3 linked regions of the Caenorhabditis elegans genome follow. The protein of the gene in region 1 purifies or fractionates together with the protein of each later gene. This does not show direct contact. Each region holds a gene or a part of one and is shown in the gene's direction. Other genes may lie near its edges.

The links. The genes of interacting proteins can lie anywhere in the genome.
Region 2: the proteins of cdc-48.3 (region 1) and rbc-2 fractionate together in Caenorhabditis elegans (co-fractionation; one large-scale study listed by BioGRID). This does not show direct contact.
Region 3: the proteins of cdc-48.3 (region 1) and mrp-7 fractionate together in Caenorhabditis elegans (co-fractionation; one large-scale study listed by BioGRID). This does not show direct contact.

Annotation. Positions count from the first base shown.
Region 1 is NC_003279.8:8,030,625-8,038,793, reverse strand, and holds cdc-48.3 (ATPase family protein 2 homolog), read left to right. Parts: upstream 1-3,097; coding exon 3,098-3,313; intron 3,314-3,481; coding exon 3,482-4,306; intron 4,307-4,459; coding exon 4,460-5,267; intron 5,268-5,467; coding exon 5,468-5,707; intron 5,708-5,750; coding exon 5,751-5,836; 3' UTR 5,837-5,931; downstream 5,932-8,169. Other genes in the region: ath-1 (palmitoyl-protein hydrolase), read left to right, coding at 1-118, 400-694, 742-906, 1,563-1,610; K04G2.4 (SHSP domain-containing protein), read right to left, coding at 1,682-1,805, 1,855-1,930, 1,978-2,198, 2,375-2,459, 2,517-2,659, 2,710-2,825; Alpha/beta hydrolase domain-containing protein aho-3, read right to left, coding at 6,642-6,796, 6,895-7,646, 7,722-7,813. UniProt on the Caenorhabditis elegans protein: ATP-dependent chaperone which uses the energy provided by ATP hydrolysis to generate mechanical force to disassemble protein complexes.
Region 2 is NC_003281.10:2,524,163-2,531,999, reverse strand, and holds the start of rbc-2 (WD_REPEATS_REGION domain-containing protein), read left to right. Parts: upstream 1-3,310; 5' UTR 3,311-3,320; coding exon of another isoform or gene 3,321-3,350; 5' UTR 3,351-3,371; coding exon 3,372-3,504; intron 3,505-3,566; coding exon 3,567-3,690; intron 3,691-3,740; coding exon 3,741-3,852; intron 3,853-3,909; coding exon 3,910-4,119; intron 4,120-5,332; coding exon 5,333-5,634; intron 5,635-6,465; coding exon 6,466-6,589; intron 6,590-7,169; coding exon 7,170-7,368; intron 7,369-7,837. Other genes in the region: cone-1 (Protein CASP), read right to left, coding at 1,176-1,286, 1,330-1,380; Homeobox protein cut-like ceh-44, read right to left, coding at 1,176-1,286, 1,330-1,380; ndua-8 (NADH dehydrogenase [ubiquinone] 1 alpha subcomplex subunit 8), read right to left, coding at 1,647-1,771, 2,343-2,461, 2,571-2,746, 2,793-2,924.
Region 3 is NC_003283.11:19,671,185-19,679,369, forward strand, and holds the start of mrp-7 (Multidrug resistance protein mrp-7), read left to right. Parts: upstream 1-3,658; 5' UTR 3,659-3,709; coding exon 3,710-3,742; intron 3,743-4,766; coding exon 4,767-5,051; intron 5,052-6,019; coding exon 6,020-6,409; intron 6,410-7,589; coding exon 7,590-7,677; intron 7,678-7,859; coding exon 7,860-8,040; intron 8,041-8,185. Other genes in the region: Y43F8C.11 (G_PROTEIN_RECEP_F1_2 domain-containing protein), read left to right, coding at 1-178. UniProt on the Caenorhabditis elegans protein: Negatively regulates cellular toxicity by mediating the export of environmental toxicants such as methylmercury out of the cell. Plays a role in inhibiting methylmercury-induced dopamine (DA) motor neuron degeneration.

The DNA of each region.
Region 1 (8,169 bases):
GCGAGCATAAAGGAACATTAATCTTCCTTCATGGACTCGGTGATCAAGGGCATGGTTGGGCAGATGCTTTCAAGACAGAAGCCAAACACGATAATATCAAGTTTATCTGTCCACACAGGTACTTTTGAATGCAGAATTATTAATTATAGCAGAAAAGTACATTTATAATAGAATTAAACAAAAGTATCGAAAAACTAAGAGAAAATTAACAAAAAAAATTTTTTAATAAAATTTCGGTTATATATTGATGAGATAAAACATAATTTTCTTCTTAAAAGAGGAAAAATATAGAAAATTTCAAGCTATTTTTCAAATCGATCTTTTTAAATATCGGTAAAAACAAAAAATCGAAAAACCGACACCCTCCATTATCCACTGAAACAGATTCACTTTTTTCAGCTCTGAACGTCCAGTAACCCTCAATATGGGAATGCGAATGCCAGCTTGGTTCGACTTATTTGGCCTCGATCCAAATGCTCAGGAAGATGAGCAAGGAATTAATCGAGCTACCCAATATGTTCATCAATTGATTGATGCGGAAGTTGCAGCTGGAATTCCAGCTTCTCGAATTGCTGTCGGTGGATTTTCAATGGGTGGAGCTCTCGCTATTTACGCTGGTCTCACATATCCACAGAAACTTGGAGGAATTGTTGGACTCAGTTCATTCTTTTTGCAGAGAACCAAATTCCCAGGGGTGATTATTCAAATTATTTAAAAAAAAATTTTTTTTGATTTTTATAGAGCTTCACTGCGAACAATGCTACACCAATCTTCCTCGGACATGGAACAGACGACTTTTTGGTTCCTCTTCAATTCGGACAAATGTCCGAGCAGTATATTAAAAAATTCAATCCGAAAGTTGAGCTTCACACCTACAGGGGAATGCAGCATTCGAGCTGTGGAGAGGTATTTTATTTTTAAAAAACGATTTTCGGAACATGAGTGTCGGTTTTCCTTTTTTAAAAATCGAAAACGATATTTTTTTTTTAATATAAAAAAAAGGAAAAAAATTGTCGACTTTAGATTCCTCGAATTCTGGAAAAAAAACGTTTTAAAATAATTTCCAGATTTCGAATTTTCGAAAAAGTTATAAAAATGAAAATGCCCTGAAATTTAAATAAAAAACTTTTTTTTTTCAAAAATCGAGAAATCTAATTTTTCACTGTTTTTTAATCAAAAAATCATAAATTGAGAAACTGGGAAACATGTTAGAAAAATTGTACGGAAAAAACGAGGAAGCCATTGATTTTTCAAAATTATGTAAAATTTTTTGTGAAAAAGAAAAATATTAAAAAGGATTAAAACAAAAAAATAAAATATAACATTTCTTCTATTCCCAAAAAATCTACATATTTTTGATATATCTATAAATAGTTTCCTCGTCTTTTTCCGTATTTTTCTAAAATTTTTCCAAGTTTTAAATTTTCGAATTTTCGACGTCCTCGTTTCGGGTAAAGAATTACAAAGAATTAAACAAAATGAAAACTTCAAACTATTAGATCAAACTACACATCATATTATGCATAATCAAAATTATATTAATCATATTAATGTATTTTCAGGAGATGCGTGATGTGAAGACCTTCTTGAGCGCCCACATTGCCCACTAAATATTCAATTCATTCCAAAAACGATTTTTTTAAAGTTTTTTTCACCAGACACACTTTATTTCTCTCAATTTTCAACAGACACGATAGTTCTGTCCAACCTCCATTCGATTTGTGTAGTCCTTTTCCGGCATTCGTACTTCAAGCTCATACAACGTGTCGTCTGTTTCATTTCGATGAGCCATCATAAACGCACGTCTGTAAATGTGTTCATTATTTCATGTCATAAATTATTTGCAATATATACCGTTCGTTTCTTTGTTGAACCGATCGTTTGATATACTCCAAATCTTCTGGAGTCAATTGATGACGAACATTTGGTCCTGAATGGATTCCAATTCTTATTTCTATTATTAATTTATTATCTCACCATTGATAACTGGCTTTTCATTCTGATCTTTCTTTCTCTTCTTTTCATCAGTATTATCAACTTTTCTTGCCGGTTTTGCTTTTTCTGGTGATTTTTGTTTTTCTCCAATTGTGGGCATTGGGTAGTAAGTAGATGTGGCGAACTGTTTTTGTTGGTAAGTAGGTGCAATAGCTGTATGAGGATCTGATCCCATTCTTTCAATAGGAATTTCAGATGCTTGTCTGAAATATTCAAATAATTATTTTGTTAGTTCGGATGTTTCGATAAGATATTATTCAGATGCAAAATTTTTATTCTGCCCGAAAACTACGGTACTGTACTATAATTTTCTCGCGAAAATCACAAAATATTGCATCCAAATAACATCCAATACGCCTTCAAATTTATGAAAAATTACGGTAGCTTATGAGTAGGTTTTGGCACATGTACATTCGTGTGAACGACTGTGGTTGTTTCATGCTTTTTGACTTCTTGCTTGACTTCTGAAATAAAAAAAAACTTTCATAAGATGCTTTGTTCATTCAACAAAAGCCGTTTACCTTGCTTCTTGATACTTTTCTCTGGAACGTGTGCACTAGTCTTCTGATGAGTTGGCTCCACAGTATCGTTGAGCAAAGTTTTCGAGTAATGCTTCACATTTAGTTCTTCTGATTCAACACTTGTCGATTGACTTGTTGGCTGACTGAATCATAGAATAATTGATAATCTGAATATATTAAAAAGTTAACTCACGTTTCGTCGAAATGTGCAACTCGATTGTGATGAATCGATCGTTCCAATGGATGCTCTTTCTTCAGTATCGCTGATTTGGACTTTGAGTTTTTGTTTTTACTATGACTACAGCCCATTCTTGAATCTTTCTCTCTTATTGCACACGATACGATTTCCTGGTATTTTGTCGGCGGAAGAATATATGAGTAAAATCAGAAATGAATCTTTTTTTATCTAAAGTTTTTTATTCGAAGAAAGAATCTTCGCGAAACATGTTTCTGTCACAGTTTATCTGAACTACAAATCTTAGGTTCACGAACTTACTTACTTGCTTCGTTAATTAAAAAAAAATTATATTCTTTTGCTTTCGTTTGCATGCAATTTCCAAAACTATAACTCCTATTTTCAGATGTCAAGTGCAAAGAAAAAACCAAGTCTCGTGACATGCCCCCAGTGTAATGCTGTTGTTCTTACCAAAGATTCTTTAAGACATCAAGACTTCTGTGGAAAGCCCGTCGTAGAATCTGAAATTGCGTGCGCTCAAAACGGAACGCTACGTGGATTTAATGTGGCAGTGGACAAAGCAGAAGGTTTTTTACCCCCAGACGCTGTTGGATGGGAAAAGGTTCGATTTTTACAAAAAACAACTTTAAAAAATCCGAATATAGCTGTAAAAATTTACATATGTAAGTTTTTCTAAAATTCTAAAAATCACTCTTCAGTTTTTTGAATTTTTTGCTGCAAAAATGAAAAAAAATCGCATATATTCTTTGACCCACTTCATTTTTTCTAGGAACACTCAATTCTAATCAATCAACAAACAATGGAAAGTCTAGGTCTACTTGCTCGGCAACCAGTTCGAATTATTCATTCTTCTGATTCTTTTATTGGAATAGTATGGCCTTGCAAAGAAGTTGCACTTCTCAAAGTATCCATAATATCTTCTAGAATTGCACGGGAACGAATGATCACATTGGAGTCTTGTGGAAGAGTTGAAAAACTCAAAAGTCTGAGTGTCACAGTCAAGACATCCTTGACTTTAAATCCGGCTCTCAGTGGATTCTTAGAAGCATATCTCAGTCACTCGTATCTGCAATACAATTCCAGTGTTGATCTGAAATATTTGGGTCAAAATGTTACAGTAACCCCAGAAGAACCAATCGAGAGCAAGATGAGCGCCATGGGAATAGATGACGACAAGAAAAGAAATTCGAAAGTAGTATCTACAGCTGTTGGCTACAAAATTCAAATTTTGAATGCTTCTGCAGAAGGATCGACTTCAGATGTTCTTCAAACTCTTCCAACTGACTTATCAAATATTGGTGGATGTTTCACCGCCAAACAAGTTCTCGAAGATTATGTTATCAGTCCAGTTCGTCAAAAAGAGTCACCGTGTTCAGTTTTGATCTGGGGACTTCCTGGAAGTGGAAAGACACTTCTTTTGAAAGAAGTTGCGTTAGTTCTTTCTGGATCAACAACCTACATTGGTAGCTGTGAAGAATTGATGGAATTGAATGGAGTAACAACTGGAAACATTGTAATTGTAGATGTTAATGAACTAGAAAAAGAAAATACGAAAGCAAATCGAGCATTGAGCTTTTTGTTGGGCGACGAAAAGGTAAGAACAATGATTTTTTATATTATTGTAGGGACACAGAAAAATGCCCATTTTGAAATCGTGTGCGCTGTACGGACAATTTAAATGTGTTTTTCTGAGTCCCTATAATAGATAGATTTCCTTTTTCTAACTTTACAATTCAATATTTTACAGAAATGCGTGATTCTTTGTGTTCGATCTTCCGAAACTCTTGACATTGGATTCCGTGTGAGATTCCCGATTGAAGCAGAAATCACTGTTCCAACACAAGACGAGAGACTCGACATTCTTTCGAAAATTGGCAACATCTACAATTTCCCATTGGAACTTCATCTTGATGTTGCTCGGCACACTCATGGATTCACTGGCGGAGATTTATGCTCATTACTGAAAGCGGCGAAATTTGCAAGAGGAAGAACACATTTGGAACGAGTAAATGACGCAAGAAAACGAATCAGACCAACTGGAATTCGTCAATTTATTCTAGAAGTACCTAATGTTTCTTGGAATGATATTGGAGGAAATGAAGAATTAAAGTTAGAAATTCAACAAGCTGTTATTTGGCCTCAAAAACATCCAGAAGCTTTTGAAAGATTTGGAATTGATCCACCAGCTGGAATTCTTCTTTACGGACCACCCGGATGTAGTAAAACTTTAATAGCACGTGCACTGGCTAGTGAAGCAAAAATGAATTTCCTCGCTGTCAAGGGACCGGAGCTTTTCAGTAAATGGGTTGGAGACTCTGAAAAAGCAATTCGAGATTTATTTTCAAGAGCAAGACAAGTTGCTCCAACTATTGTATTCTTTGATGAAATCGATGCAGTTGGTTCTTCAAGAGGTTCGGAAAAAAGTTCTGGAGTTTCGGATCGAGTTTTGGCACAATTGCTCACTGAGTTAGATGGTTTGGAAAAGTCAAGTAGAGTTATATTATTGGCGGCAACTAATCGGCCTGATCAATTGGATAGTGCACTTTTAAGACCTGGTAAGTAGGTTGTCTGTTTAAAAAATATATTTTTTTAACACAAAACTATGAAAAATTGATGTAAATACTGCACGACTGAAAATTTGAAAGTACAGTACTCCTGGTTGTATCTAATAGAAAATTGTCGTGTTGAAACCTACTACTGTAGTTTTGGGGAAAAAATGCCCGTTCGAGTAATAATATTTTTTTTTGTATTTCAGGTCGCCTGGATCGTGCTATTTATGTCGGATTACCATGTGAAGTGACACGAAGAGCCATTCTCGAAATGCGAACTAAAAAAATGAAATTCGATGATACAGTTAGAACAATTGATAAACTAGTGGAAAAAACATCAGGATATTCCGGTGCAGAACTTGTTGCTGTCTGTAGAACTGCTGCAATGTTTGCAATGCGTGAAAGCATTGATGCTACAATCGTGCAATGGACGCATTTTGAACAAGGTAATTAATATTATTAAATTATTCATTAACTAAATATTTTCAGCTCTTGCCGCAGTTGTTTCCCGAACTGAAGCGTATCTTCTTGAAATTTATGACGATTTTAAAGCAGGTCGAGCTTCGAACGCATGAAAATAACTGTTTACCTGATTGTTATTGTTAAATTGATTTGTTCTTGAATTTTGAATTTCTTTGATTGTTGAAAAATGAAACAAATTTTATTTTTGAACAAATTGTGATTCGAAGTTTAGAGCTGCACAAGAATGGAATTCAATTTGATAGGAGAAATTAGCAAAACGTTTTGATTCGTTGGATGAAAGCATATTACAGATAAAGTTTTTGAGAAAAAAAACGACAACAAATTTAAAAGTGAGCAGTAATTAAAGATAAAGTTTGGGATGAAGGGATTTTTTGGGTACACTAGAAAAATGGAATTATGCTTAAACAAGAAAAATTTAAAGTCCCGTCGGAGCAGATGAACTTGTGTGTGGAATTTGGGTAACAGACGAGAAATACAGTACTCTCCGCATTTTCATGAACATCATTAATCCCAATAGGCTGAGTGATGATCATAAATTGCGTTAGAATACAAAATATTTTGTTACACGTACAAAACACGCGAATTGGGTAGGGGAAAGTTAGTAGACATATAATATTTGGAATATGGAAAGTTATGATTGAGGTGAAGCTTACGCGGTTAAATTAACCGGGGGAGATGAGATAAGTTTGAAAATTGGATTCAATCTCAATAGATTAGAAATTAAAATAAACTTGGGAGGTAAACTTTAATAAAATAACTCGAAAAAGACAAATATCACCTCGATATATTTAAATTGTCCACATTGTTTCTCCAATTTCAATCACCTTTCGTTAAAAACGATGAGAACTTTTAGATTCTAGAATTTACAGAAAACGATAAGAGATTGATTATGTTGTACTAGGAAGATGTGCCATTCGAAATCGTCCGACTATTGGTACTCGTTGCGTTAGTAATTGGTGCAGTAACACGAATCGCAGAAGCCTCCATATCGATGAAACTTCGGAGACGTTCCAGATATGCTGCATGAAGCTCCACGTCATTGTGACCAGCTCCTATAAATTTGAGATTTTATTTACAAGAATTCCAATTTTAAATACAATTTTTCCGATTTCATTTCGAATCAGAAAACTACAAAAAGCTTATATCGTACCTGGAACCCAGAGTGGTTCTACTGACGTCGGGCATCTTTCGTAAATAGATACACCATGTGAGAAATCAATAACTTCGTCGTCTGTTCCATGAATCACCAGTGTTGGGCATTTGACACGTGGCACTTTCTCAATCGATGGAAACGCGTCACAACACCATGTTGTCGTTGTTCCGGGAAAAGCGACACGCATTCCGGACATCAGAGGAGAATGTAATACGAGTGCCGCCAAATCCTCGCGGCTTGCCAAATCGACACTTGGCACGGTGCCTATTGATTGCCCATAAAGAATAATTTTCTCTTTTGGAACCCCGAACTCTGATTTTAGCAACTCAAAAGCGGCGGTTATGTCTGCGTAAAGGTTCTTCTCTGACGGTTTTCCCGTTGAACATCCATATCCGGAATAATCATAACTGAATACATTACAATTCAGATGGAATCCAAGACCATACAAAAATGATGTCATCTGTCCAAGATCAACAGCGTTTCCATGTGAGAAGAGCAATGTGAAATGAGAATTTGGAAGTGGTCGAATCATTGTACAGGCTACACGATTACGCCTCCGAGTTCTCGTTATTCTCATTTCGACACAATTCGCCATATCGACTTCCTGATGAGGCCATGCTGCTCGTCCTTCGATTAAAACCAACTTGTTGTCTTCAGTAATAGTATAACTGGGCTCTGGAGGCATGAATGCCAATTTCGAAACAATGGATGATGGGAATGGAGGACAGCAGAATAAGCAGCAGAGATCTCTGAAAAATTGAAAAATTATTTTAAAAAATTTATAAACACTTAAATTTATGGGAAAAACACCCACTAAAACTCACTTGAAAGAAACACTATTTGGTCCGCCAGCCCGTGGTGGTGGTGATCCAGGTGTACTCGACATTGATGAACCCGATGGTGCTCCTGACGACATCTGAGTGGCACTGCAGGCCAATCTGAAATCAGAGAAATCGGTGGCAGTCACGTGGAAATGTGGAAGAGGAGGGAGTCGTGGGAAAATGAAGAAAGTAAAAGAAAAATAGAAGCGGGTAGAGTATATAGCTGAAGACGGCAGAAATGTATTGGTATCAACGAACGAAATATTGAAAATTAAAAAAATAATGGGTAAAAATTGAGAAATAATAAAGACCTAGATAGCTTAAAGGAGAGTTTCAAAAAATATGGATTTCGTTTTAGAATACACGGAATATTCTAATATATATATAATACCACAAAAGAAAAAATTTAAAAAATCGAAAATTTCAACATTTTCAAACAACACCAACGGAA
Region 2 (7,837 bases), on another chromosome or scaffold:
TAAATAAATGTGATATATCTATAGGATTAATTTGAAAATGTAAACTAATCTGATGATTTATGAGCTAATACAGACACTACTAGAAATATGTATGTGTGTGTGTGTGTGCATATGCTACCGGCTGGTAATAAACAATATTTTTTACAGGAAAAGTTGAAAAAAATAGACTAGGAAGTAGTACAAAAACCTACATACTATAGAGCAAAAAATAAAAATTACGAAAAAAGGACAGAGCTCATAAGAGAACGAGATAGAAACGATTTGAATGACAGATGGCGAGAGAGAGAGAGAGATTCGACTAATGTTCGATTGATGGTATGACACTTGGCGGGAAAATCAATCGATATTGATCACGATTTTCGAGATATCGATCATTTGAGGAGCACATAATCTTCACTTCATATTGGAGAACCACCGGAATTTACCAAAGTTCAAAAAAATTGACATTTTTTATGTACTAATTCTACATTTTTTGTAGCATTTCCAAAAGTTTTCTAGTAATTCCAAAAAACTACTTATTTATAAATTACACAGATCCAAATTCCAGAGATATCGATTTTTTAAAGAAAATTTGCACCATTATTTTCTAAAGCAAAATAACTGAAAATTACTGAAAAATGAGTATTCCGAGCACATTTTTGCATTTTTTTCAAGAAAAGTTGTATTTAAAAATCGGTGGAAAAAATCCTCACTTATAAATATCGACAGAGCTTGGTCCATTTTTCATTAATTTCGCTGAATTTTTATTCAAATTATGCAGGATTGTTAGCTCAGTTTTCAAGAATTTATACTCGTTTTCTCTGAATTTTCAGCCCAGTGTTCCAAAAGTTCTCCTCATTTTTTTTCTTGTTTTTTAGCAAATTTCTATATATTTTCTCCCCAATGTTGCAGGATTTTCAATCATTTTTTTTCCTAAAATTTCGAGTAATTTTCGCTGAGATTTTTAGCTAATTTTTCCATAAATTCTCAGCATTTTTGCCGAATTTTCAGCCAATTTATCCGGATTTTCTCTGGATTTTAGCCAATTTTTTTTCCATAATTTCTTTCCATTTTTGCCGGATTTTCAGCCATTTTTTCCATAATTTCTCTCTATTTTTGCTGGATTTTCGGCAATTTTCCCATATTTTGATTCGATTTTCACCGGATTTCAGGCCAATTTTTCTCCAATTCTTTACCTTATTAGTTCTGCCTCTATATGCATTACTCTCCTCAACCAATCGTGTTTTACGAATTTCACTGTCATCTTGTCGTTGTCCAAGTGCTGTCACTTCAGCCTCCACTCTTGTCTGAAATTTCAGATTTTTTAAATAATTTTTTTTTCCAAAAAACTTGAATTCGGTCCCAATCTACAGATTCCCATGCTCTTGAGACGATTTCCATAAGGTCTGAAATAAGAAATTAATCGAATTATTTAATCACAGCAAAAAATCACACAATTTGTTAGAAATAGCACACGGATTAAAACCAGAAAGGTTGAAAAAGTGAAAAAAAAAAATTAAAGAAAATCTACATTTTATTCGCTGAAAAAATTTAAATTTTTGGAAAAAAAAACGGGAAAAAACAAGAAAAAAATAGGAGAATTTGGAGAGAACTCTACGGGAAAACGAAGGGTATTTGCAGAAAAACGGCCAATTTTTCAGAGAAATCTAGCTTTCAGTAATATTGTAGCGCCAGTCGTTGTATTTACGGTAGTCTTTGCGAAGATGATAGTCGGCTGGAAGCTCATTGAGCACTTTAGCTGCTTCTGCCTTGTAGTCACGGAGCTTCACCTCTGAAATTGGGGAAAATTGAATTTGCCGCGAAAAATGGGATTTTAAATGAGTTTTTAGTGAGATTTTCGTGAAATTCAGGTGGGAATGATGCCTAAAACTGAAAAAATTGATTTTTTTGACTTGAAATTCGGATTTTTTCCGCAAAATCTATCAAAATTTAACTTAAAATACAATATTTTTTGGATAGAAATTTGAATTTGTCGCTAAAAAATGTCTGAAATTAAGGTTTAAATAGTGATATTTTGGCTCGAAATTTGAAATTATTCCGAAAAATACAAATTTTACCAGTTTTACAAGGCTTTTTTGACTGAAAAAAGGTGAATTTCGTGACTTTTTAGTTTTAAAAAGCTTTAAAATAGTCAAAAAAGCGAAAAATTTAACAAAAAAGTGGTTTTTTTTTCAGGAAAATATGCAAAAACGTTAGAATTTTTCAAGTTTCAGGAGTTTCTGGGAACTTTTCTGAAAAGTTCATACAAAAATTGAGAGAAAAACAGTGGAAGAATTCAGCTAAAATATTGATTTTTTCGCATTTTTAAATTAATTTTATCGTAAATTCTATAATTTCTGTACCTGGAGCCGCGGTGGCCGAGTCATAGACATGAAGTTTGCTGAAGTATCCAAGCTTTGGACGCGTCAAGTTCAAATTAGCTTCCACGCAGGCATCGAGCTCCTTCTGGTCGTCATGGCACCTGAAAATTGAATATTCTACTGCTTTTTCGCTTTTTTTTTCGGAAAAAAATCACGTTAAAATTTTTTAACGGTTTATTTTCGATGAAATTTCATTTTTGGAAAGCTCACTTTGACATGTAAAGCTTGGCACTGCTCTGATCAACACATTCGGCGAGCTTCTGAGTCTGTGGAAGGCAGGAACGCTTCAAAGATTGAAGAAAATTGACTCCACACGCGGTCAGCGCGGCTCCCTCCTTCAAAACGGCACGTGGATCCTCGGCTTCCTTTCGTCGAAGCATGAACTCCTGCAAAAAATCTCAATTTTATCGAAAATTTGGCAGAAAAACCAACATTTGCCTCCTTTTCGCAATGTTTTGCCATATAGGGAGCGATGGATTTGAGCCATGGAGTTGATAAAGTGATTTCCTGAGGAACAGTGAGCTCCTCGTCACTTGGAAAATGCGTATCCTTGGTTATACTCATCGGAAAATGTACCCTGAAATTGGAAAATTGGAAACCAAGCGGAAACTGTTACAGAGAGGGAATTCGGTGATGAAATTTATTATTTTCGATGAGAAAAATTTGAAATTTGATTTTTAAACAAAAAAAAACAAAAAAAAATCGATTGAAAATAGTTTATTTTGATTTTAAATGATAAAATAAAAAATAAAATTTGTTTTGCGCAACGGCTGTTTGCCCGTAAATCCACACAAGTTTAAAGGCGCATGCCATGTTGGCTCTCTTCCCTGCGAGACCCGCGGCATCTCATGTCGATTTACGGGCTATCGAACTTTGCCCTTTTCTTGCTCCGATTAAAGTTTTCTAAAAAAAAAGCTTATTTAATTGAAGAAATTCAGATTTCATTTCAGATTAAATATTATGAAATTATTGTGTAAATTTCTGCTGTAAATCTGAAAATCTAGCTGAAAAATGGTGGAAGTCGCGCCAGCCGGCACAAAATCGCCGGCGCTCTCCGTTCCAGTTGTCATTTGGGGCCCGAAACCGCCGGAAAACAAGATTTGCGCAATTCGTGTGCTTCCTGATGGCGCAACAATTATCACAGGTTAATATTCATCGAATTTTCTAAACAATAAAACAAAAAATCTGAAATTTCGAAATTTTCAGGCGCTGAAAATGGCCACATTATTATTTGGAAGCTAGCAGAAGGACTTATGCCAAAGCAGCTAATGATTGGACATTCTCAAAAGATTACAGCAATCTCTCAGACAACAAATACACCGACAAATACGTTAGTAACGCAGGATTTGGAAAAAATCGATAATTTCCGAAAAATTCCAGACGTTTTGTCTCAGCTTCAGCCGACGGACGTGTATGCCTCTGGGAGATTCAAGATGGACGGTGCATTGATTCAACATCTTCTATTGCAATTCACAGATATATTTATCCATACGTAGGCGCTGGAAAATCGATTTTTAGCCGAAAAAACCGAGAATTTTTTTGATTTCAGACGTATAAATCGTCCCGTCACACGAGAGCAACTCGTCTTTTCTGTATTGGAGATTATAGTGATATTCAAGTAATGGATCCACAAGATTTGACAGTTGTATTCTCAATTTCTTCAAGAGTTGAACCGGATTGGATAAGCTGTTTTACAATTATTAGTCATCCGGAAAAGGAGGATCAGTTGATTGGAATGACTCTGAGTGGAATGATGAAGGTGTGGAATTAATGGAAAATCGATTAAAAAGCGAAAAAATTAATTTTTTTCAGCCAAAAATCACCGAAAAACATTAAAAAATATCATATTTTCGCGGAAAAATTGCATTTTTAAATGTTTTAATGTGAAAATACAAATTTTCTAGAAAAAATCTTCAATTTTATGTAGAAATGGAAAAAAAAATCGCGATACCCTGATTCAAGCTTATTTTTGAACGAAATTTGGTGGTTTTGAGCAAAAAATTGTAATTTTTGCCCAAAAATTTGGATTTTAAAAGTTTTTTATTAATAATTTCGATTTTTCAAACTTGTAAAACGACAATTTCCGTGAAATTTTCAAATTTTTTTCACTTAAAAATCACAGTTTTTGGAATTTTTTCTCCAGAAAGCCAATTTTCTACTTAATTTGGAAGATTTTTTGTATAGCCTTTAGATTAAAAAAGCTGATTTTAAAGCTATTTTTAAGAAAAAAAAAATTAATTTTTACGACTTTTGACGTTGATTTTGGTGTAAAAATGTATAAATCTATTGAAAAAATGTCATTTTGGACAGTTTTCGAGTGGAAAATTGAATTTTTGAAGCTTAAAAAAAAATTTTTAACTAAAAAAAACACAATTTCCGTGAGAATTTCAAATTTTCAGTTTATAAGCTCTTTTTATGATGCAAAATATCGATTTTAGGCCGTTTCTTATCAATTTTAATGCAAAAATAGTCATTTTCAAGCTCTAAAACCACATTTTTCCAGTTGAAAAGCTCGAAAAATTGAATTTTTATAGCTATTGCAGTTGATTTTTGTGTAAAACATGTATAAATTCGTCCAAAATATGACATTTTAAACGGTTTTTCGAGTAGAAAATAGAATTTTCGAAGCTTTTTTCCCTGTTAAAAGGCAATTTCCGTGACATTTCTAATGTAAATTTTCAATTTTTGACTGAAAAAAGCGAATTTTTGAACAATTCACACAATGTAAAGTGTTCTTAACGCAAAAATCTCGTTTTTAAATAGATTTTTACTTGTAAAATGACAATTACCATAAGATTTTCACATTTAAATTTTCACATTTAAAAATTCTAATTTTTGGTTTAAAAAGCTATTTTTAATGCTAAAACGGAAAAATTTAAATTTTTCCGAGGTAAAAAATTGATTTTAGATAATTTTAGACCAATTTTAACGCGAAAATAGCCATTTTCAAGCTCTAAAACCCCATTTTCCAGGTGTGGACGCTCACAGAACTGGAGAAAAAGGACCCAGCAACATCTCTATATGAAGATGAATCAAAACGACTAGAAATTCAACATATTCGAAGTGTTTCATATATTTGTTCAACAAGAAGAATGCTTTTAATAATTGCATCGACATGTTGGATGATTATTGATATGGATGATCTTTCAACAGTAGTTTTTCATAAAAATGAAATAACTACGAAACGTTGTGTGGCTGGATATCTTACGGATTTGGATAAAGTTACAATTGGATATACTGATGAATCAATTCATGTATTTCAATTGCCTATCGAGTGAGAAAATTCCGGAAATTTTTATTGGAAAATACCGGAAAAATCGAATTTTTCAGCTAAAAACACATGAAAATCAACAAAAAATCACAAAAACGAATAATTTTCTTTGATAAAATTATCAATAATCTAAAGAAATTTGAAATTTTCCTGGAAAAAGCATACAATTTGCGAAATACCCTAATTTTCTAGCGTGTAATCAAAAAAAATTGACAAAAATCGAAAAATTTTTGTTTAAAAAATTAAGTAGTTTTGCACTATTTCGATAGATTTTCGTATATATAATTATTGATTTAAACAACAAAAAATGAAACAAAAAATCCGCTTTTCCACGAAAAACAGATTATTTGCAGAAAAACTATATCTTTTAATGAAAAATTGACAAAAATTGAGCCAAAATATCCAAAACGCACATTCTGACGAATTTTCTCATAGAAATTGCTTATCGAGTGAAAAATCCCGGGAAAAATCGACTTTTTCGGCAAAAATTGAGTTAAAATCGCTTATTTTCAATTAAAAATATGCAAAAAAAATAATTAAAAAAAAGATAATTGATTTTTTTGGAAAAAATAAAAAATAAATAAATAGCTTAAAATCACGAATTTTTGTTGAAAAAATTTGAACATTTCCCACAAATTTGACATATTTTTGCCTAAAAATTCAAGATTTCAACGCTAAAAAGTTGAATTTTCTTGAAAAAATTCTCTTGAAAAATTTTTTTTTTTCGACTTTAGCATTCAAATTAATCTAAAATATAGTAAAATAGTATAAAAATGGTGAAATTTACTATAAAATTCAAAAATTTCAAAAAATAATAAAAATTTCAAATTCCAGAAGTCTCCAAAAAGAAGGAGTACCGCCAGTTGTTGCAAATAATCGTCCAACCTCAAATTATTTCGATCAGCCGAATCCCTTCATTGTGGCCACTGTAAATGGTGTTCAGGAGCACTCGAGATCTGTAAGAGCTCCGTGTCGATTTACGCAGCTCGTGTGTACTCCCCGAGGAGAAGAAGAAATTTCCTGATTTCAGGCCATTTTTCACTGATTTTTTCACTTTTAAAATTAAAAAAAAAATCGCCGTGGTTACTGTGAAAAACCATGAATTTATGTTGATTTTGGCTCTAAAAAGGCAATTTTTGTCTAAAATTCTCAATTTTTAGTATTTTTTAACATTAAAATCGCCCATTTATCGAATTTTACTTCAAAAAACTATTAAATTAGCAAACCTTGACGATTTGAAACCGAAAGTGATAAATAATGACAGAAAATTCTAGATCTCTAATTTAATAGTGTTTATTGCTATAAACTGGAGATTTGAATACCAAAAAAAAAAGCGCCAAAAATTGCATTTTAAGCTGAAAATCGAGAAAATTCATTGATTTTCCCAAAAATCTCTACAAAAAATTGTGAAAATTGCATAAATCAAGAATGTTCAGCTCAAAAACTGTAAAGTCTTGTCCTCGGGGAGTACACGAGCCGCGTAAAGCGATTTTCCAGCTTAAAAGCCCGAAAATTCTCAATTTTCCCAAAATTTTCAGTGCCTAAACGACGTTCAATTTGCATTTCTACCATATAATTCTTCAAATTCCCTGGAATCTTCATCATCTTCATACGAAAAACGTCGTTTCTCAGTTGTACGAAGTTCAAGAAGAGATGGAAGTGTACTTGTATGGAATATGCCACCATTTGATCATCAATTCATGAAAGCTGTGCCAGCTATCAGGAATTTGCCATTTAGTACGGGCGATTTTTGATCTAAAAATAGAAAAAAGGCTAAAAATTTCAAAAAACCTGCGAAAAACGTATTTTAAAATTTTTTGTCATGTTTTTGCATATTTTTCTTTAAAAATTTAATTTTTACTCCAGTTTTCATGAAAAAACGCTCAGTATTATCATAAAATTTCATTAAAGTGAATTTTTGGGTCCCATCACGAAAAATTCGGGGTTACTGTAGTTGTTGCAACTGTACAAATCTTAAAAATTCAAATTTGAATTTTTAAAAAAATTGAAACCAGGAAAACTAGGCCGAAATTAAAACTTTAAAAATTTGAAAAAATTGCAAAATTACAGTAACTAGTCAGCCGGTTTTCGTAGTGGGACCCAAAAAAATTTTCATTTGAAAAAATTGAATATTTGAGACAATTTTCACCACAAATTAGATGCAAATTACGACAAAATCGTTAAGAATTGTAATTTTTCGTGATAT
Region 3 (8,185 bases), on another chromosome or scaffold:
TCTCCTGGGCATCTCGATCTTCCTGCTGATCCTCAACATCGTCACCATCGCCTTCTACAATCGCCGCCACGTCATCAAATTCTACCGTACCCGCTTCCAACCGATTCCCCACTCGGAAACCGCTTCATCAGTTTTTCGTGGAGCTTTTGATCACGACGCTTTTGATATGAAGGGATGATTTTTTATTTTGAAAAAAAATTGTTTTTTGAAAAATAAAAAAATTCGTTAAAAAATTTCAAAATGTTTAAAATCTCGTCGACATCACTGTTGAGCCGTTTTCCCGTTGCTTTTTGCATCTAAAAATTGTAAAATTTCCAGATTTTCCTTAGCTTTTCTTATTTTCTCCGCAGAAATTCTTCTCGCAATTTTGTGCAGCTGACCAGCAGCCTCCACGGGGAGCTTATGCACATGAGCTCGGTTGTGAAGAACCTGAAAACTTTCAGAGCCTTACAGGATGTATAGAAAAAACTATCGACGCTAGCTGGGGGTCGAACCAGGGTCTTCAGAGTGCAAGGCATCCCTCTACCCAGCTACGCCATATAAACAATATTTTCAAAACTGATGGCTCGGGGCCAGGTTAAAATGTTTTTCGGGGCTAAAATTTGGCGGAGAATTCAAAAAACTTATCAAAATTCTTTTTGGGGAGTATTCAGAAAAAATACGGGACATTTTTTATTCAAAATTTTTAAAAAATGGGTCAAATCGATGTAAAATTTTACGCTGGTCATTTTTCCAGTAAAAAGTTTTCCGATATCTCTATTCTCCGCGGAGATACAAGCTTGCAAAGTTAGGGCGGCGAGAGAGCAGTGGAGGGGGAGAGACGCAGGCGGCGAGCCTGTCTGCGCTCTCCCCCTCCCCCACACTCTCTGCACGCGGTATCTTCAAACCGTCGTATCTCAGCAGAGAGTGGGGATATCAAAAAATTTCCAATTGGTAAGTTGTTCAGCATGAAATTTTGCTTCATGTGAATAGATTTATTCAATTTTAAATTATTTTTTTATGTTTGTTGTTTTTTTTTTCAAATCAAACATCCATCAACTGTTGAGTTCGTTTCCAATATCTTCATTTCTGATAAATCTTTTGCTTTTTTTCTTCTTATCACTTCCACTACTATTTGTAATGCTTTTCAGGGTCTTCTCTCAGCAGAAGCCCCTGAACTATTTCGCAATTCTCATCAAAAATTTCGTTTTCAATCAATTTTCCACGAATTTTTCAATTTTTTTTTCCAATACAAAGTCAGACACACGAATCACATAAAAATGTGATTATCCGTGTCTAGAAAAGTATTTAAGTACGATTTTGAGCATTTTTTGTCTGAAAAAAGTGATGATAACGGGTTGATGAGGGGAATTATCTATCACTTTTCACTCATTTTTTGTCATCATTTTTCTATTATTACAACCTGAAACCCTGCCGTTTTCTCTGCGTCTCTCTCTCTATCAGTAGTGGCTCCCCATCCCAGGCCGTACTCCAGGTGCATGTGTGTTCTTCTGGCGTTGAACTCTACACTTTTTGACTAAATTATGTCTTTTCAGTGTTTGTGATCAACCTGTAGTTCAGTTTCAATTGGAAGAGTTCGAGAGATCAAAAATTTAATTGAAATTTTGAATTTCCCGCCAAAAAAGACTAAAAATTTGAATTTTTTTGGAACTTCCCGCCAAAAATTTACTGAAAATTTGAATTTCCCTCTTGAAAATTGACTCAAAATTTGAATTTTCCGCTGAAAATTGACTGAAATTTTGAATTTTGGAACTTCCGGCCAAAAATTGACTGAAAATTTGAATTTCCCGCCAAATATTGACTGAAAATTTGAATATCTTGCTGAAAATCCCGCGGTGTCAAACTGTCCCATTTTGGCGTGTGATCTACAAAAAATGCGGGAATTTCTTGCAGAGAAAAATGTGACGTCAGCACACGCTCTTAACCATACAAAATCTGTTGAGAAATCCGCGTCTAAATTCCCGCATTTTTGGTAGATCACACCGAAACGGGACACTTTGACACCACATGAAAATTTTAAATTCTCCGCCGAAAATATTCTGACTGTCTTGAATATTTCCTAGCAAAAAACTTCTTTTTTTTTTCTTAATTTCTGGGCAATTCTAATAAATTTTTGAAAAAAAACTGGGCGATTTCATGGATTTTTAACTTAAAAATTCAATTTTTGAACATTTTTCCCTTGAAAAACGCTTATATTGCTTAAAATTAGCTGAAACTTCAGTATTTCCAGACCCAATTTAGAATACTTTCGGTAAAATTGTCGTCAATTGGTGCGCGTTGTCCGCAAACACCGTCACGTCAGAATGCACAGAAACGAAAAAAAATGTTTTTTTTCGGCGGTTTTTTTCAAATTTTAAATTTATTTCCGCTCATTTTTCGTCATTTTTTCGAATTTTTGTTCAGATTTTCATCAAAATTTCTTAATTTTCTAGTTTCCCGCCATATCTGCGCCAGAAAAAGTCAAGTTTTACCCATTTTTTCGAAGAAAATTGCTGATAACGCTCTCTTATCAGCCGATAAAATTCAAAATACACGCGGAAATGATGACAAAATACGATGATTTTTGGGTTTCCCGCCTCTCTGACGATGGAAAATTTGCATAAATATATTTAAATCCCCGCCGGGAAGGCATTTTCCCGATTTTCTCCAGGGTTTATAGTTTTCACCAGTGGAATTTCGGTTCATTCGAACCTTTTTTGGCTTTTTTAAATGTTTTAATTTGAAAAATCGCTGAAAAAATCGATTTTCAGTGTATTTTCTCGCTGAACAACTTGAAAATCGAATTTTTTGAGTAAAATTTACAGTTTTTTACTCCACAAATCTTGAAAAACCCTTTTAAAACTAGATTTTTCGGTGGATTTTCAACTTTTTTTGCGATTTTTAATGTTAAAAAGTAGCCGAGACGAATTTTTTCTTTTCCAAATTTGCCGACTTTGTCAAAAACCTTCAAAAAACCGGCAAAGTCGGCAAATTTGCCAGAAACTCGAAAAACGGCAAATTTGCCGAAAATGCCGGAATATTTTATATTTGGAAAACTCGTCAAAGTTGCCGGTTAAAGAACGGCAAATTTGCATTTTCGGAAATTTTGCCGATTTGTCAAAAAAAATGGCGGAAATTGTTGGACAAATAGTATTGTGCCGATTTGCCGGAATTTTTATTTCTGGCAAATTGCCAAATTTGCCGAAACTATTTATTTTTAGTCAAATTCGGCAAATCGGCAAATTGCCGGACCGGCAAAAAACCGGTTTTCGCCGAATTCGCCAAAATGTTGAAAAACGGCAAAATTGCCGATTTGCCGAAATTTGAATTTTCAGTCAATTTTTGGCGGGAAATTCAAATTTTCTGTCAATTTTTGGCGGGAAATTCAAATTTTCTGTCAATTTTTGGCGGGAAATTCAAATTTTCAGTCAATTCCAGCGCTGAACATTGCTCAATTTCCTTTTATTTTCCGAATTTTTGTCAAAAAAAAAGCGTGAAAAAACGCTCAAAATTAACAACTTTCCAGACCACTTTTACAGCTTTACCCCCTTAAAAAATCCGAAAATTCCCATTTTTTACTGAAAAAATCTCGGATTTTCAGCAATTTTTCAGCGTATTTTCTCGTTCAAAAAGCTTTGTGTTACCATAGAAACGTTCAATTTTTCCTTTTTTTTTGTTCAGAAATAAACCTGCGAGCGACCTCATACTCAACACAAACTCCAAAAATTAGATGCTTTCCTCGTTTTGTGGCGACGGCCATCCGGTATTGATTTTTTTTTGTTTGAAAATTGGAATTTGAAAAATGGCAAAAAAAAAATCAGAAAGTTTTTTTTTTGAAAAAAATTTTTCCGAAAAAAAAAATAAAAATTTGCGCTTTTTTTGAGGAATTTTCATGGAATTTATCGATTTGCTAAAAAAAACAAAAAAAATCACTAAAAATATTGTAAAAATATTCCAGAAATCCAGAAAAAAGGCCAAATAGTATACAAAATATAATAATTTTTCGAAAAACTTCAAAAATTTCACCAAAAAAAAATCTGAAAACAATTAGATAAAAGTCACAAAAAATTAGCCTGTTTTTGATAAATCACAAAAATTTTCCAAAAAAAAATTAACAAAAAATTACGATTTTCTGGTTAAAAAAATCCAAAAAATAGCTAGAAATTTATTTCAAAATGAAATTCTTTTTTTCAATATTCCAATTTTTTGAAAAAAATATTTCAGAAAAAATTAGAAGAATTTCCAAAAAAATCCAAACTTTTTCAAGAAAAAAATTCCAAAAAAATTACGATTTTCTCGCGAAAAATCCTTTAAAAAATCACAAAAATACATTTAAAATTTACAAAAAAATCACTACGTTTTCGAAAAAAAACTCACAATTTTAGAATAAAAAATTTAAAAAAAAATTTTTTCTGGTAATAAAATCCAAAAAAAAATCAAAAAAAAATTCTGAAAAAGCCATAAAAAATTCAAAAATTTTCCAAAAAAATTGTATTAATTTTAGAAAAAAATCACAAAAATTTTCCAAAATAATTAACAAAAATTAAAAATAAAACCAATAAAATTACGATTTTCTGGTTTTAAAAAAATCCAAAAAAAAAAAACAAATAAAAAAAATTTCAGAAAAAAATCACAAAACTTTCCAAAAGAAATTTTTTTTTTAATTAAAAAAATTTTTCGAAAAAATCACAAAGCAAAATTAGAAAAATCATTTAAAAAAAAAAATTACGATTTTCTGGTGAAAAAATCCAAAAAAAAATCGTAAAAAATTCAATTTTTTTTTGCAGTTCTCAACGGGTCTACCGAACGTCTCAATATGTGCTCAACACACGGTGCTCGTCTGGGTTCCAGCCGCATTCTTCCTGCTCACTTTACCATTTCTAAGTGCTCAGTGTCATTTGACGGCTCAACGATTCGCGAGGCTTCCGTTCAGTGCTCATTTCATTATTAAGCTTCTTCTTGTCGCTTTTCTCGCTGCCAACTCACTTGCCACGTGGTGTTATGTGTTATTCTCGAAGAATTCATACGCTGCTGCGTATTATGTTTATCCAGGACTATGGGTTCTTGTTTGGGTACGGTTTTGGATGTGGAAATTTGAATTTCCCGCCAAAAATTGACTGAAAATTCAAATTTCGGCAAATCGGCAATTTTGCCGTTTTTCAACATTTTGGCGAATTCGGCGAAAACCGGTTTTTTGCCGGTCCGGCAATTTGCCGATTTGCCGAATTTGACTAAAAATAAATAGTTTCGGCAAATTTGGCAATTTGCCAGAAAAAAAAAATTCCGGCAAATCGGCACAATACTATTTGTCCAATTTCCGCCATTTTTTTCACAAACCGGAAAAAAAGAAAAAATTAGAAAAAAAGAAAAAAAAAAAAAAATTCCGGCAAAAATGTCATTTTTCAAATTTCCGGCAAATCAGGTTTTTAGCGGGGAATTCAAATTTCCTATCAATTTTTGGCGGGAAAGTGACTTAAAATTTGAATTTCCCGCTGAAATTTCAAGCAAAAAAATTATTACACGTTCGTCAATCAGTAGTGGTTCAAAAATTTTACGAATGTATAATAAGAAATTTTTTTCGGATTTTCAAATCTGAAATTTGAATTTGCAAAATTCAAAAAAAATTACAAAATTCGCAAATTCAAAGTTCATAAGAATTTAGGCTCCGCCCATTTTTTTTCTGAAAAATTCAAAAAATTTTTGATATTATGCATTTGCCAAAATAATACCAACCTCACCGGGGTACTGTAGAATAGACCCCGCCCACTTTTTGCTGAATTTTCTCTTGAAAATTGTCCGAAAAAGAATTTGTTTGAAAATCCGAAAAAAAAGTCTTATTACACATTCGAAAAATTTTTGAAACGCTACTGATTGACGACCGTGTAATAATAATTCTTGATTTGCCGAAATTTGAATTTTCAGTCAATTTTTGGCGGGAAATTCAAATTTTCAGTCAATTTTTGCCGGGAAATTCAAATTTTCTGTCAATTTTTGGCGGGAAATTTAAATTTCCACTCTAATCCCGTTACCTATTTTACAGACGGGTACCTTCCTAGTTCATCTCATTCGTCTTCGTTGTGGTCTCGTATCATCTGGAATTCAACACGTCACTTCATTAATCTTTTTGCTCTGCGGTGCTCCAGAATTCTATCAATGGATTCGAATGGAAAATTCGAATTCCTTCCCGAATGATCTCACCACCACCGACTCCGCCCAATTTTTATCGATTGCCTATTTAAGTTGGTATTCGGCACTGATTCTCTACACTTTTTCACTGTGTTTTGCTGATCCGCGAGGAGCTAAAACTGATGATGAAAAAGCGTCGTCGAAAAGTGCAGCATCACCGGAGCTGCAGAGCTCATTCTTGAATCGGCTCACACTGTGGTGGTTCAATAGTATCCCGTGGACAGGAGCCAGGAGGGATTTGGAGGTGCTACAAAATTTTAGGCCAAAAAAAAAAACGCTTTTTTAGGATGAAAATGAGCCATTTTAAGCCAAAATCTGCAAAGTTTGACCCTTTTTAAGCTGAAATTGGATGAAATTAAGTCGTGAAATTAAGGCTGAATGGCTGAATTCGGGACTTTTTCCCCGAATTTCGGAATTTTAGAGCTTGAATTAGGCCATTTTATGCTTAGATTCTGGCCTTCTTAGCTTGAATGAATAAGGTCACTTTGAGCTTAAATTAAGCCATTTTGAGGTTTAATTAGGACATTTTGAGCTTAGACAAGCCCATTTTTAGAATTAATTTAGTCCATGTTCAAGCTTAAGTTAGGCTGTTTTAAGCTTAAATTAGGCCATCTTTAGGTTATTTTAGGGTATTTCGACTTTAAAATGATTGAATTTAAGCCCAAATTAGGCCATTAGGTAGATTAAATTAGTCCATTTTGAGCTTAAATTAAGCAACTTTGAGATAAAATTAGGTCGTTTTAAGCTAAAATTAGTCCATTTTCAAGCTTAAATTATGCCATTTTCAAGCATAAATAAGCCCATTTTGAGCTTAAATTTGGGGGATTTTGAGATTAGATTAGGTCATTTTAAGCTTAAAAAAGCCCATTTCGCGTTTTAATTAGGCCATTTTAAGCGTAAATAGGACCGTTTTTCGACCTTAAATTATATCGATTTAGGCTTAAATTAGTCTTTTTTAAGCTAAAAAAGATCTTGTTAAGCTTGAATTAGCCCATTTTCAAGCTTAAATTAATCCATTTTCAGGCTTAATTTAGTTTATTTTCAAGCATAAATTAGGCTTTTTTATGCTTAAATTAAGCCATTTTGAGGCTTAAATTAGGCCTTTTAAGCCTATATTAAGCCATTTTATGCTTAAATTAGACCTTCTTAAGCTTGAATGAGGCCATTTTCAAGCTTAAATTAAGCCATTTTGAGGTTTAATTAGGCCTAAATTAGTCCATTTTCAAGCATAAATTAGGGCGTTTTATGCTTACATCAGACCTTCTCAAGCTTGAGCATAAGCTCATTTTCAAGCTAAACTTAGTCGTTGAAATTAGCCCATTTTGTCTTTAAGTTAGGCCTATTTAAGCTTAATTTAGTCCATTTTCAATCTTCAAATTAGGCCGTTTTACGCTTAAATCATCACATTACGCCAATTTTTCCAGATCGACGACATTTTCGAGCTTAACGAACGAAGTGGAACAGAATTTCTCAGCGAACTTTGGGAATCGTTTTGGGAGCCCAAGAGACTTAGTAAGTGCGATGGAGCGCACTTTCTGACAAACGGGAGATTTGAATTTTTTTTAGTTTTTTCGTGAAAAAATCCGGTTTTTTCCGCGGTTTTTAGTGGAAAAATTTCCAAAATTCTCAGATTTTCCCAAAAAAAAAAATCACTTTTCGGTCAATTTTTGGCGGGAAATTCAAATTTCTTGCAGAATACATCCACGATACGAGTATTTGGGCGAAAAAGGATCCATCTGAACAGGAAAAGGATCCAGTAGTCATTCCATCAGTTGTTTCATCGCTTTTTATGATGTTCCGATGGGAATTTCTGTTGGCTTCAACGTTGAAATTCGTCTCCGACACTATGCAATTTGCCAGTCCATTTTTACTACAGTAAGCAGCGGCGGGAAAATCGAAAAATTGACGATTTTTGGGGCTGAAAATTTACTGAAAAATTGACGGTTTTTCAGCCAAAAAATTGGATTTTTCAGCCAAAAAAAATTGGATTTTTCACCCCAAAAAATTGGATTTTTCACCC